Struthio camelus: one gene and its partner. The protein of the gene in region 1 interacts with the protein of each later gene in a pairwise test. Links are inferred from orthologs where the notes say so. Each region holds a gene or a part of one and is shown in the gene's direction. Other genes may lie near its edges.

Evidence for each region.
Region 2: the proteins of LNX1 (region 1) and CDA interact in binary tests that used the Homo sapiens proteins (3 or more experiments, as listed by UniProt). The two-hybrid records come from large-scale screens. The link is inferred for Struthio camelus from reciprocal best matches to the Homo sapiens genes LNX1 and CDA.

What each region holds. Positions count from the first base shown.
Region 1 is NC_090945.1:57,111,269-57,119,156, forward strand, and holds the start of LNX1 (E3 ubiquitin-protein ligase LNX), read left to right. Parts: upstream 1-4,816; 5' UTR 4,817-5,059; intron 5,060-7,888.
Region 2 is NC_090962.1:12,711,705-12,717,490, reverse strand, and holds CDA (cytidine deaminase), read left to right. Parts: upstream 1-4,066; 5' UTR 4,067-4,375; coding exon 4,376-4,523; exon of another isoform or gene 4,524-4,663; coding exon 4,664-4,775; exon of another isoform or gene 4,776-4,946; coding exon 4,947-5,133; 3' UTR 5,134-5,152; downstream 5,153-5,786. Other genes in the region: protein FAM43B, read right to left, coding at 243-1,139. UniProt on the Homo sapiens protein: This enzyme scavenges exogenous and endogenous cytidine and 2'-deoxycytidine for UMP synthesis.

The sequences.
Region 1 (7,888 bases):
AATGAGCTTCAGCCTGGTGACTCAAAAAACCATGTCTATTTGTCGCAGCACTTGGCACTAACTTTGTTTCTGTGTTCTCATGATGCATGCATGGGCTGCAGATCAAAGGCTACTTCTAGGTCATTTTACCTATAAGATTATTGAGGTTTCCTGCTAAATCACTGAGAACAGTGAAAATTTGCAGTGTTTTTATTAAACTTGCACAGTCAGCATACAGCAAAATTAGAAGGTATGTCAGCTCTGGTTGGAGTACCTCAAAGAAACCAAAATCCTTAAAAACCAAACAGTTAAACAAAAGTCAACTTATAAATCTTCTGAAAAGTCCCAGAGGCCTTCCAATATGTCTGCTGACACCTTCTCCCTCTCTCTGACCCTCCTAACTCAAAGCATTTATCTAAAGAACAAAAGTTGACAGTTAGCATTTAATAAAAGTTGCTTGTCTTGTCAGTTTGCAGAACTCTTGTTCCTGCTGGCCGTTTCCCTGATGGTGTGTTACAACAATGCAATGGCCAGCAGCACTTACAGAAATAGATGCAAAAAAGTGACTTAATTAATTTTAAATAGGTTCATTCTTGAATATAAAATGTAGAGCTGCATGAGAAAGAGAGAGTTGCAAGGAGAGGGTCCGTGTTTCAGCTAACAAAGGTCCCGTTTGAAAGGAATGATTGCTGTTTCTGCTAACATACCATGGTACAGAAAACGGTTGCATTTTGCTTTTAGGCATTTTCAAGAGGTTTTTATTTACTAATAATACAGTAGCAGTTTCTGATTCCTGGAACAGTTACGTCTGTCAGTAAAGTTAAAGGACTGTGTTACATTTGCAAACATCAGAAAACCCTCAGTAATCATGTTCAAATTCTTCTTTTGTACCCCTGAAGTTTTACAGACTTGGGCTTTAATCCTGTGTACCTGCAAGTGAGGCTTTACCCTACTGATATACCTTAAAGAGAAGTGTTTGACTACTTTTTGCAGAAGGTAGATTCGCCAAATCGCATTAGATTGTAATTTTGAGAAACACGTTTGCATGTCTTGTACCATGTCCTTTTCATGAGGTAATATGAACTGTACTTAATGCTAAGTCTCCTTTCCACCGCTACAAAACAGATGTCTGTTATGTTTTAACGGCACCAAAATTAATTACTTGTATTTAGTTTTCCTCTTGTTTAGGAAAAAAACCCTTTCCTGACACACTGTAGAATACACACCAGACGGAGGCAGCTAGAGTTAACACTAAAAAATATTCATTTGTTTACAGGCATTCACCGTTCTCTTCGCTGGTAGGAGCTGCGGAGCCTTGCTGGTGACCACCGACACCTGAATCATCTGAAATAGCCCCTGAAATTTTTGGCTATTTCAGGGCTCCGGACCCCGCATGGCACCTTGGAAAGGAAAGATGAGTGTGTTGTCAGGGCTGGTTTAGACACGGTGCAGGGAGCAGCGGGCTGCTGGTAGCAGCGGGAGGTCAGCAGTAGGTCCTGCTGCCTGTTTTTCCTATGCCTAATTGTTGCACTGTCTTCAGGGGAGGGAGCAGTAAAAGGGAGCAGGGAATTGCAGGCACTTCCCTTGCCTGGCCGGCTCCAGGCAGGCTTACGATGCATTACTGAGGCCGAGCAGTCCAGACGGATGGGCAGGAGTGTCTCGGAGCAGCAGACCCAGTGGAAGTCCCTTGGCCACCCCTTTCTCGCAGACCCACACTGGCACCTCTCTGAAAAGTGGTGGCAGGATCCTGGGAAGCAAAAAGCTGCGGCATGGTAAGGGAGGGGTGGTAGCACGGCCTGTGAACCTTAGCAGAGTGGTGCGGATGGAAACGCGGCACAGGCAGTCCGTGCAGTGATGTGGCAAGAGAGAAACCAGGCTGTGGCTGAGTCCAGCTGCGCATAGTCCACACGTGTAGTTCCTGGATCCCTTTTTACCAATAGATTGGTTTAATTAGTTGGCGACTATGGAAATGCCTGCATAAACCTCAGTCTGGTTCAGTAGAAGTACTAAGGTGTGCACACCTCTACTTCTTGAGACCTCCTGGGTATCTTCTGTCTGGCTCAAATGTATGTTTCAAAACTTTTTTTTCTGTCAAATATAGAAAGTGACAGAGCTAATCCTCTTTCACTGTCCCTGGCTGTCAGAATAGCGTTAACTTGTACATTGGGAACCTCAGTTAGGTATTTTTACTTAGTATAAATTCAGTTCAAGCCTTCTAGTCGCTTGATTAGAAGCAATATATCTTAAGTATAGATTTTCTTTCATTATTTTATGGACTACATTCTTCAACTCAAAGATTCCTTAAGAAATTATAAATAGAAAAGATCCAATATTTTGTGCCCGTAATTCAACTTACTGTCATTGCTTTAAAAGGATCAAAGTGATATTTATGACTTTTTAGAAATAATTTTTTCTGAAGTGGAGGTAGGCCTGTACATTAAGTTCAAGCTCAAAATATGATATTGCTGGTGCACAGAAAAGCCTTGAAGTAAGCATTTTAAAGAAAATTGTGATTTTAAATTGAAATAAATATTGTATTGAACACAAAAGCATGCAGAACATGACATGAGACTTAGAAAACCGCAGCTGAGCTTCTGTTGATGTAAGTCAAAGGAGGCATACCTAGTCCCCCTTTCCCCAAGGATGTCTGTGGGAGGCCCAAGTCATGAATCTGGTTGTTGGGCATGAATCTAGTTGTTGAATCCTGACCAAAGTGTGGTTATAGCAAGTGATTCTTTGGCCAGCTTAGAAAATCCTGACCCTTTGTCTGCAAAAGACATTTTTAAGTAGCAGCATTTTGGCCTCCACAGCTGGTCTGTGCCTCAATGGAGAAGAACATTTCTTTAGTTCATTTTTCTCTTCAAAAACCCCATTCCAAATCAGCAGGATCATCTTCTGGTTCTGGTTAAAGCATCAGGCAAGGGAGTCAGGCTTTTACAGTCAAGCTTATGCAAACACGCTCACCCCTACGCGCCCTGTTTTCTTTGGTTATAAGGCTACTGCTGGTCACCCGCAGCTTTAGCAGGGCCGTGGGCCTGGTCCTAACTGTGTTTTAAATAGAACCAGCACAGCAGAGTTGTGATTTAATAGTTTATTAGCTGTATTTGTGGAACAGATGAGACCTTGGCTTGTGGTACCTGGCAAGTAGTGCAGGATGGATCAGCGAGCAATGTGCTTGGTAAGGAGTCTGCGCTTGGACAGTAGCCTTGTTTATACAGATTCAGTTCAGTGCCCACTTGAGTTAGCAGAAGTGTCTGACTTCAGAGTACTTAGCAAAGTCAAACTGTGGGATATTACATTTCACTTGTAAGACCTAAAACTAGCACCGTCAGTGAAGTAGATTAAGGTCTGGATGACGACATGAACCCCTGTCAGTGTGTGTAGCAGAGGTCATTCCCAGAGGACCACAGACACAAGTTAGAGCAGCTTACAGCCACCCGTCACCTTCTCTGCTCGGGAGCGTTTTTATAAGCATAATTTCAAAACTGTGCTGTCTGGACTGAATGCATAAACCACACTGAGCAGCCTTAAACCAGAGACTCAGTCTCAGGAGGAAAAGTGGGGGGTTTCTCTGGTAACAGAAAGCTACGTTAGCAGTCTCCATGCCAGGCTGTGGTGTGGAGGCAGTGTGTGAAAATGGCCACGGCCAGCTGGCAAGCGTGCTCTTGGGGCCATTTTTTTTTGTAATTTATCAAAAAAAATTTGTGTTTTTTAAGCACTGTGTACCATAGGACAGGAATTCAAGGCATGATTTAGAGTAGTCCCCATCTCCCTGATTTAGGGCTACCTTGAATTAACTTTTGGCACTCACCACTGGCCCTCTGGAGTCTCCAATGCCGGGAAGATGCAACCAGCCTTGCTGTACTTCCACCGTCTCCTTTATGCTGTTTTTCACTGGGAGGTACAGAGGACCATACTGAATGAGGCAATTCCCATTGCAAAAGCTACACTTTCAGAAGACCAGATTTCTGCTTGCAATGCAGTTATGATGGTTGAACAGTTCAGCTATGGAGCACAGACTGAACCAACTTTGTTTTTAGCTGTATTTCCAAATCATGCTAAATATGGTGGTTTTTTAATATATATGTATATATAAGTATATATAACAAAAATATATTTAAAAGTATACATAAATAATAATTTATTTCCACTGATGATCAAATTGAAGAGTCAGTTATAGCCCTCCGTAGTGTGTAATAATATTCAGAATACTTCTGGCAAGGCAGTGGCCTGGGATTCATTTAAAAATCAAGTTCTCCTTTAATAATAGACACATTTTTATTCACTGTGTTAGGCTCTGCAGTGTTTACTATAACCACATTGTTCTGGTTACTTGCCAGATCACTGAACCTATTGTTTCTCTTATACTTCCACATTAGGTTTACATACAGTGCCTGACTCTAAAGCAAAAAGTTTTAACAGGACACTGAGCCTTCTACTCCTTCTATTTGCCTCTGTAGTTCCAAATGTAATACACTTTATTTAATTCACTGTAACTGCTTCTCTGTTGATTGACCATTTATAATCCAGTGGAACCATAGCAATGACCTATGCTTTAAAATGAGAGTAATGGAGTATCCCCCTCACACAGAGTCAGCCCACCTTGAAAGCCCTGACATTACCACTACCCCACTGGATTAGAGGAGATGTGGTTTATATTAGTGGCCTGAAGAAGGTTCATGCCCTTTGGGAAAAGGTTGTTCCCTGGAATGGCAGTGTGATTAATGGTTTATTTACAACACTGACATCAAGGCTGTCAGGACTCTTCATCAGTCTTTGATGTAAAACACACTCCGAGGCCCTAGGTCATTCTTATCTGCTCAGAGAAGAGAAATCAGAAATGAAGAATGGGTGAGTGTGGCTTCAGTTCTGGTACTAATATTTTCCATAGTGGCAGCAACAGAAGAAAACTACAAGGTCACTTCTACTTCGCTGGACAAGCTGGTGGGACCATATCTGGTGGTATGGCTTCCTTTTTTTGTCTGGGGGGAGAGCAGTATGTACAACAGAGCAAGAGACTGCCGGTGACAGATACCACGGTGAGAACATACAGATACCTACATCAGATCCACAAGGAGGGGTAAGTGTTTCAGCACTGCACAGAGCTCAAAATAGGAACTGATGAATTTTCACTATGACATTTTTAGTAATTATTGTGTGGTACTCAGCACTATCATGTATGGACATTTCCAATTTTCAGAACTTCAGTATTTTAAGAAAGGCTTCCCACTGCTGAAAACTTTCTATATTTTCTTGCTGAATTGGCTAAGCCCAGTTTGATTTTTCTGAAAACCTCCTCAGAGCTGTGTGCTGGTGAATCCCACACAGCCCATGTTCTCGTGGGCTGGCTGATTAGTGAGATAATGCTGCAATAACGTCAGCCGTTCCTCTCAGCGCTTTGATGGCAACTGGCTTGTTGACATCCAGCACGTTTACATAGGCAGCCACCTTTTCTCCTGCCCAGTTCAACATCTGTGGTACAGGAGAGATTTGAAGCATAGACAGTATGCAATATGCCTACGGTACTTCAGTTCTACATTACCTTCACAGGGGATTTAAAAATAACTAAGATGCCTGAGAAGGTCTCCAGGGCCCAGTTAAAATAGTAACTGGATGAAAATCAGTTACTGAATCTGAGCCAGATAAGACTGAAAATAATGCTAGGGAGGAAGAAAACTATTTTGGAGAACCTCAACTTCCCTCTGTTAAGAGCTCTGGCATTTGTTTTATCAAAATGTTCCAAACCATTTGGCTTTGTGTGGGCTCCTCGTTATTTCTTGGTGCCTAAACAGCATGACCCTATGAGATAGTTCTTCTGTGCATGATATCCTGGCAGACTGCACTCCTTCTTGATGGGTTAGGGTTTACTGATAGCAATCTATGACTTGCAGGAATATGTCTAGCAATATGCCCATAAATCAAACTGCTCATCTTAACAAAACTCTAGTTCAAACACAGCAACGTGCTTGCTTGGCAGAGCTGGCTTCCGAGAGCGCGTTTTACTGGGGTTCACTTGGCTTCCTATAGAGTGCTGGATGGAAATTAGTGTATGCAGTGAGGACCACCCAAAGCAAATGATTTCCATTAGAACTAAACAAGTCCTTAAATGCAAGAGTGTAGGATGTTCGTGCAACGGGACACAGAGGTTTCTTGACAGTGGGTGCTACTTAAGATACTATCTTAAGGAGAGCAAAAAAAGCCCCACAATCTAGTAGTAAAAAAACCACATCCAAGTAAAATAATCAGGAAAAATGCAGAGGCAAATTAAATTCACACACAACAAAAGCAGACAAAACTAAACAAAGCTGTGCTTTCCTGTCCTAACTTTAATCCTCCAGAAGGCCTTTAGACATTGTAGTAGATGGCTTCTAGCCCACGTGTGAAGATCCTAACTACAGTGAGGCAAATGACTGTAATTAGCAGTCTGATTAATTTTACTTCCTGAAAGTGCAAAATGCAAGCACTTAACAGATTCATTATTTGACATTTCTTCAAAATTTCTTAGGGGAACAATTCTCAGCTCTGGACCATTTGCAAATATTTCATTCTCAGCATTTTACCTTTTTGCTGTTGGCTACTTGAACAGATTTTTCTTTCTAGGTTAGATGGCCCTTAGTTAGCCAAAAGCTTGTGTTGTTGTGAAGATCATTTGCAAGTACAAAACCTTAAGTGCCCAGCTCTGGTTAACTAGGTAAACTGATCAGCACTCAAATGTTTCCACTAGAATATTCCTAGGGAGTATGTACACACTCACACACATACACACGCACCAATGGCAAAAAAAATTTTAGATGTGAAAATTTCACACGCAGAAAATTCACATGAAAATTTTGCAGGAAAATGTAACTTTTTTTCCAGCTTTAGTCCTAAAAACTGGAAGTATTTCCATTTGATTAGTACAGTTGTGTGCATGGAACCCAAAACAAAAAGACTGAAGAAGATAGGAAAAAAATACATAGAAAATAAGTTTTTGTTGATAACTTTCCATGTTTCTCTCTACACACATTTCATGGAAGATTCTAGGTAATAGAAACTAATGTGGCTAATGAGTCACAACCAACAATCATACTCTCAATACACAGTATACATATATTTTGGTATTTTCCAGCTCCCGGAGAAAGTTTCATCATTTTGTCATTCTAAAACTTTCCCAGACCACTCCCTTTGTAAAATCTGTTAAAGGGCTTTTAGCTGGTTTGTGGTCAAGGCTCTGTGTCTCGTGCAGCATGTTAATCCCAAAATATGCTTCAGCAAGCTCAGAACAAAGTTGGGCTGTCCTCAGAACCCCCCTCCTCTTCTCCTCTCCCTTTCCCCATCTCCATATGGGAGTTTAAAAGCTTAAATTATTGAATGCTGCAGGGTTTGTTGTTGGCGACGAGCAGTTGCAATGTAGAAATCAGCAAGGGAAACCTGGCATTTCTGGCATCCATCCTGGGAACCACACAGGGCTTGCTGCCAGGTTTTTCTCCATCACGCTCTTCTTGCTGGAGCTACCTGAAGCTCATTCCCTGGCCATGCGTGTCTCTCCTGCTCCCCCCTGCACCAGCTGGAAAGGTCTTGGCTGCCCGTCTGCCTGCTGGAGGTAACATCTGCTTCCCAAGCTGCTCCGTGGCCATTTCCTACTCCACTTTGGTCAAGGTGAGCTGGGCTTGCAGCCTGGAGCTGTGGCGGTGGTGAGGGCTGGGAAGCTCAACTGCCCATCCCACCTCAGAGGCGGGCACTGCTGGTGCCCAGCAGTGGGAGGAGACCCCCCCCCCCCCCCCCGGCAGCTGAGAGGGCCACAGCAGAAGAGGATGACTGTCTGTCTAGCGCCTCGTGACACCTCCTGGTGCAGGGAGAGGCACTGGGAGCTGCTGAAGGCCAGGACAGGCTAAGGATCTCCCTGTTCTGTCAAACTCCTTCCTGCCTG
Region 2 (5,786 bases), on another chromosome or scaffold:
CCCACCCCCAGGGCTTTGGGGCGGGGGGGTTCAACCCTATCCCACCCCCCAGGGCCTTTGGAGGGGGGGGTTCAACCCCATCCCACCCCCCAGGGTCTTTGGGGGGGGGTTCAACCCCATCCCACCCCCAGGGCCTTTGGAGGGGGGGGTTCAACCCCATCCCACCCCCCCAGGGCCTTAGAGAGGGGGGTTTCAACCCCATCCCACCCCCAGGGCCTTTGGGGGGGGGGTTCAGCGGGCGCTCAGCACCCCGGCGGCAGGGCGCCCCGCAGGCTGCAGCCCCGCAGCTCGCCGGCCAGCCGCAGCACGTCGGCCCGCCGCCGGCCCGAGCCTTCCTCCTCCTCGCCCTCCTCCTCCTCCTCCTCCTCCTCCTCCTCCTCCTCCAGGATGGAGCCGAGGCCGGGGGCGCCGCGGCCCCGCTCGGCCGCCGGCGGGCCGTAGGGACGGGGCGCCTTGAGGAGGCGCCGCAGCGGGGCCGGGGGCACGGCGGCGGCCCCCAGGCGCTGCTGCCGCCCGTGCCGCCCGTCGCTCTGCCGCTGCAGCCGCCCGAACTCGGCCAGGGCGCCCGCCGCCGCCTGAGCCAGCAGGCGAGCCACGGCGCCCGCCACCCCGGCCTCGGGCGCCAGCGCCGCGTGGCAGCGCAGCGCCACCGCCTTGTTCTTCGCCCGGTGCCGGTAGACCCAGGCGAAGAGGTCGGGCCGGCGAGCGTCGGCGGCGCAGTGGGTGATGCGGCGCAGCAGGTAGCACTGGCCCGGGCGCCGGGCGCCGGCTTCGCAGGGCGTCAGGCGGATGCCGTGCGGCCCCAGCGTCAGCCGCATCTTGGCGCCGCCGCCGCTCTTGGCCCAGATCTTGCCCACGGCCTCGTCGGTGCAGCCCTCGCCCTTGGCCCGCAGCGTGGCCGCGTGGCCCAGGTAGCGCACGGTGTACGTGGGCGCCTCCCGGCTGAGCTCCGCCGTCCGGCGCTTGCCCCCGAAGAGGCGGCCCAGGCGCCGCAGCGGGCACTCGGCCAGCGCGCCGGGCCAGGCGCGCGCCAGGGCGGCCAGCAGCGAGCCGTAGCCCAGCCCCGGGCCCAAGCTCTTCCCCTTGCCCTCGCGCTCCTCTTCCACCAGCACGAACTTGCTGCGGCGCCAGGGCAGCATCGCGGCTGCGCCGAGGGCTCCTCTGCCGCCCGCGGGGCTCGGCGTTTCCGCCTCACCGCAGTCCTCCCGCGGGTCTCACCGTTCCCGCACCGCCGCGATGCTCCCGCGGGTCTCACCGTTCCCGCACCGCCGCGATGCTCCCGCGGGTCTCACTGTTCCCACGCCGCTGTGATGCTCCCACGGGTCTCACCGTTCCCGCACCGCCGCGATGCTCCCGCGGGTCTCACTGTTCCCGCACCGTCGCGATGCTCCCGCGGGTCTCACCGTTCCCGCACCGCCGCGATGCTCCCGCGGGTCTCACTGTTCCCGCACTGCCGCGATGCTCCCACGGGTCTCACTGTTCCCGCATTGCTGTGATGCTCCCGCGGGTCTCACCGTTCCCGCACCGCCGCGATGCTCCCGCGGGTCTCACTGTTCCCGCACTGCCGCGATGCTCCCACGGGTCTCACTGTTCCCGCACTGCCGCGATGCTCCCGCGGGTCTCACTGTTCCCGCACCGCCGCGATGCTCCCGCGGGTCTCACCGTTCCCGCACCGCCGCGATGCTCCCACGGGTCTCACTGTTCCCGCACCGCCGCGATGCTCCCGCGGGTCTCACCGTTCCCGCACCGCCGCGATGCTCCCGCGGGTCTCACCGTTCCCACACCGCCGCGATGCTCCCGCGGGTCTCACCGTTCCCGCACCGCCGCGATGCTCCCGCGGGTCTCACCGTTCCCACACCGCCGCGATGCTCCCGCGGGTCTCACCGTTCCCGCACCGCCGCGATGCTCCCGCGGGTCTCACCGTTCCCACGCCGCCGCGATGCTCCCGCGGGTCTCACTGTTCCCGCACCGCCGCGATGCTCCCGTGGGTCTCACCGTTCCCACGCCGCTGTGATGCTCCCGCGGCCGAGCTGCCCCTCCGCCCCGCTCCGCTTTGGGAGGCTGACCTGCCGCGGAGGGGTCCCCCGGCGGTGCCGCCCCCCCGCTGCCGGCTCCCTACCCCAGCGCGGCGGGAGGCGGATGCTGCGGCAGGATGCCGCTGGCCTCGGCGCGGGGGGATGCGGAGCCGCTGAGCTGCCGCAGAGGAGCCGGCGGCGGAGCGAGGCGCAGCCGCTCGCCTGCCCGCTCCTGCTGCGTGAGCGGCGGCAGCGGGGACTCAGCCCTCCGTGGGCTGCTCCACCTCCCCGGGACGCGGCATCAGGCAGCGCGCGGGGAGCCCTCGGCAAACGTTAGCCACGCCGGCAAGCCCGCCGAGCGGAGCCCCCCCCCCCCCTGCTCCCCGCAGGGGAAATTAAGGGCGGAGTGAGGTGGCAGTGATTTTTTTCCCCCCCTTTTCCCCGAAGGCTCGGACCACGGCAGCTGCTCGCCCCGCACAGCCCTAGCGCCAGCGACGAGGCTTTCTCTTCAAATCGGGGCGCTCCTCGAGGCGTTTGCTGCCGGCCGCCCCCGGCGGCGCTCGCGTCGGCCCGGCTTGCAAACGCTGCTGCCTTCTCGCAGGTGGTTTTCACTCAGTTCCCCCCCACCCCCGTTTTTTTTTGTTTTTTTTTGCCATATTTGCAGGCCTTCAAGGATGCCCCTCTTGGGTGGAAATTTTAGCTTTTAGCCTCCTGCCGAATCCGAGGCTTGCTCCGGCGTCGGCTCCGCCGCCGAGCCGCCCAGGGAGACCCCCGTCGGCGCAGCGAACGCGCCCCTCCTCGGCGGTTCTTCGCCCCGGCGCTCCACGCCGCTGCGCGTGCTGCAAACCCGACGGCGGCGGACAACCCCTCCTCTCTCCGACGACCTCGAGCCGGCGCTGGTGCAGCGCAGCTCCGCAGCACTGGCAACCAAAATAATAAAAGATGCAAGCCTTTCTTTCGATCTCTTTATTCGGTTGTGTTTTGGTTTTGTTTTCCAGCAAAGGACGCGGTTTGCTCTGTGCTGCTTTGCTTCCCGGCTCTCAGCGTAAAGGATGGTTTCAGGGACAGGATTTCTAGGGCAAGAATGCAGATTTGGGGGTTTGGGGGTGTTTGTCAGCCCGGTTATTTATAGCTCCTGCGTTATTCAGGTCCCGCTGTCAATGCGGCGAGCGTCGGGGATCGCTGCCGGCTCGGCTTCTCCGGGGACCTGGCGTTTGCTTCCTCCCTCGTTTTCCTGCCCTGCTCCTCTGAGCCGATTATTTCCCTCACAAACAGGCTTTCTGGAGCTGCGAGGGCACCGAGCAGCGCCGAACTGGAGCGAGAGCTGCCGGCCCCGGCGTTGGGGGTCGCTCCCCGCAGCGGCCGCAGTTTACCCCTCTCGACTGCAATATGCCCCCTGCAACCGCGATACATCCCCTGCAGCTGCAATATTCCCCCCGCAGCTGCAATTTGCCCTTCGCAGCTGCAATTTATCCCCTGCAGCTGCACTTTACCCCCTGCAATCGCACTTTACCCCCTGCACCGGCAATTCGCTCCCGCGCTGCGCCTTGGCAGCCCTAAAGCTCTGGCGGGTGATATAACATGTTGCATGAGGAAGGTGGTTTGTCCGACTCTCCCCGCATCCCAGGCAGGGAAAACCGGAGCTCCTAAAAGCTTGGGACTTCCCCGCGCTTAAATCAGCGGGCGAGCACGCAGCCGGCGTCGAGCGCGTGGAGTTTGTGGCATTTCTTCCAGCGGCTCAGCTTCGATTTCTTCGCTAAAGAAAGCTCCCGGCTTTTAAATCGCCTATTTTCCATCGGCCTTGCAGGCGGCAGCATATTCTTCCCGCGCCCCCCCGCCTCAGGCAGATGCCGAAATCTCAGTGCAAAAACACGTTTTCAATCCGGATCTTCAACGTGGAATTTTAACTCTTCATTACAAGGCCCGGAAAAGCTGATTTCTCTTGCTTTTTCCCTGCTTTCAACCGTATCGTCTTATCTCGCTGCCGAGGAACCGGTGTTTTCCCTCCCGAGTACATTTTACGACGTTTTCCCATTGAGTCATAAAACAGCTTTGCTGCCGGGGAGAAAAAAAAAAAGAAAGCAGTGATGGAAAATATTCTGCCGATCCCATCGGGACGGCGCCGGAGCCTTTAGAAACGCGGGGCCTAAAGAGAGGGAGGGGGGAAAAGAAAAAAGAAAGGGAAATAAGCGGCGCAGGGGGGAAAACGAGGGGCGGAAGGGCCGGGTCTCGGCGGCGTTCGCGCGGTCTCGGCCCCGTTTCCCACGCCCGCGGGGGCGTCCTCCGGGCTCGGCCCCGCGGCGGGGGAGGACGAGGGCCACGCCGCCGGGGAAATATTTAACCGCAGGGCCGGCGGAGCGATGGAGCGGGGCTCCTCGCCGGAGGCCGAGCGCCTCCGGGCGCTGCTGCTGCAGCGCAGCCGGGAGGCCAAGGCGGCCGCCTACTGCCCCTACAGCCGCTTCCCCGTGGGCGCCGCGCTCCTCACCGCCAGCGGCCACGTCTTCTCCGGTAAGCGCCCCGCCTGTAGCTTTGGGCCAACAGCCGGGAAACATCCGCCAGGGTGAACGGCGAAGTGGGTGGGTGGGGGGTCCGCGTCCTCTCGGGGGCTGGCAGCAGCCCCGGGGTGACGGCGCGCGCCCTTCCCCTAGGCTGCAATGTGGAAAACGCCTGCCACAGCCTGGGGGTGTGCGCCGAGCGCACAGCCATCCAGAAAGCCGTCTCCGAGGGTCACACCAGCTTCAAGGCCATGGCCATCGCCAGGTGAGGCGCCGCGCGGCGGGTTCGCCTGGTCGAGGGCAGCAAGGAGGTGGCGGCGGGGGGACACAAACAAGGAGGGGGCTGCCCGAAAGAGCGTTTCTTCAGGTGCCTTCGCCCCCCCCCCCCCGGGGGGTTCGCCGGCCGCCCTCAGCTTTGCCTCCTCTTCTCCGGCAGCGACCTCGAGGGCGACTTCATCGTGCCCTGCGGCGCCTGCAGACAAGTCATGCGGGAGGTAAAGGGCTTTTTTCTCCCCCCTCTTCGCTCCCCGGCTCGGCCCTTCCCGGTGTCCCCCCCCACCCCCCACACGCCGGCCCGCGGGAAGACTCTTGGCGGGATTCCCGCGGCGCCGGGCGCCCGTTGATCCTCTTCTCGCCCCGCAGTTCGGCCGGGACTGGGACGTGTACCTCACCAAACCCGACGGCACCTACGTCGTCAAGAGCCTGGAGGAGCTTTTGCCGCTCTCCTTCGGGCCGGAGGACCTGAGGAAGCTGTGATTTTGGGGAGGGGGCGGGAGGCCGAAGGGCGCCTGCGGGTAACGCGACGGGAGCCGAGGGCCGAGGCGGCGGAGGCCGGTCAGCCGCGGTGTCGCGGAAGGTGTAAAACGCGCCGAATAACACAAAACCCGCCACGCCGGCGGGGCGGGGGGGAAAAAAAAAAGGGCTGGGTCCTTCGGTTGTGGAGGGAGGGAAGGCGAAAGGGGAGCGCTCCGCCGGCGCTGCCGGGCGGGCGGCCTGCGGCCCCACCGCGGCCTCCGCGTCTTCCTCTCAGGGGCCTGAACCGGGGGGGGGGGGGGGGGTCACCGTTCCCGGGCCAACGGCAGCTCGGCGGCAGAACCGTTGATTAAATAACGCGCGGTGGTGGTGGGGGGGGGAAAAAACCCGGAAAAAACCCGAAAAAACCGAATAAAAGGGGAGGGGGGGGGCGGTGTTAAGGGTGTAACCGTCGCCCGGCGGGGGCGCGCGGGGTGACGTCAGCGCGCGCGCGGGAGGGGGCGGCGCGCGCGGGGTGACGTCA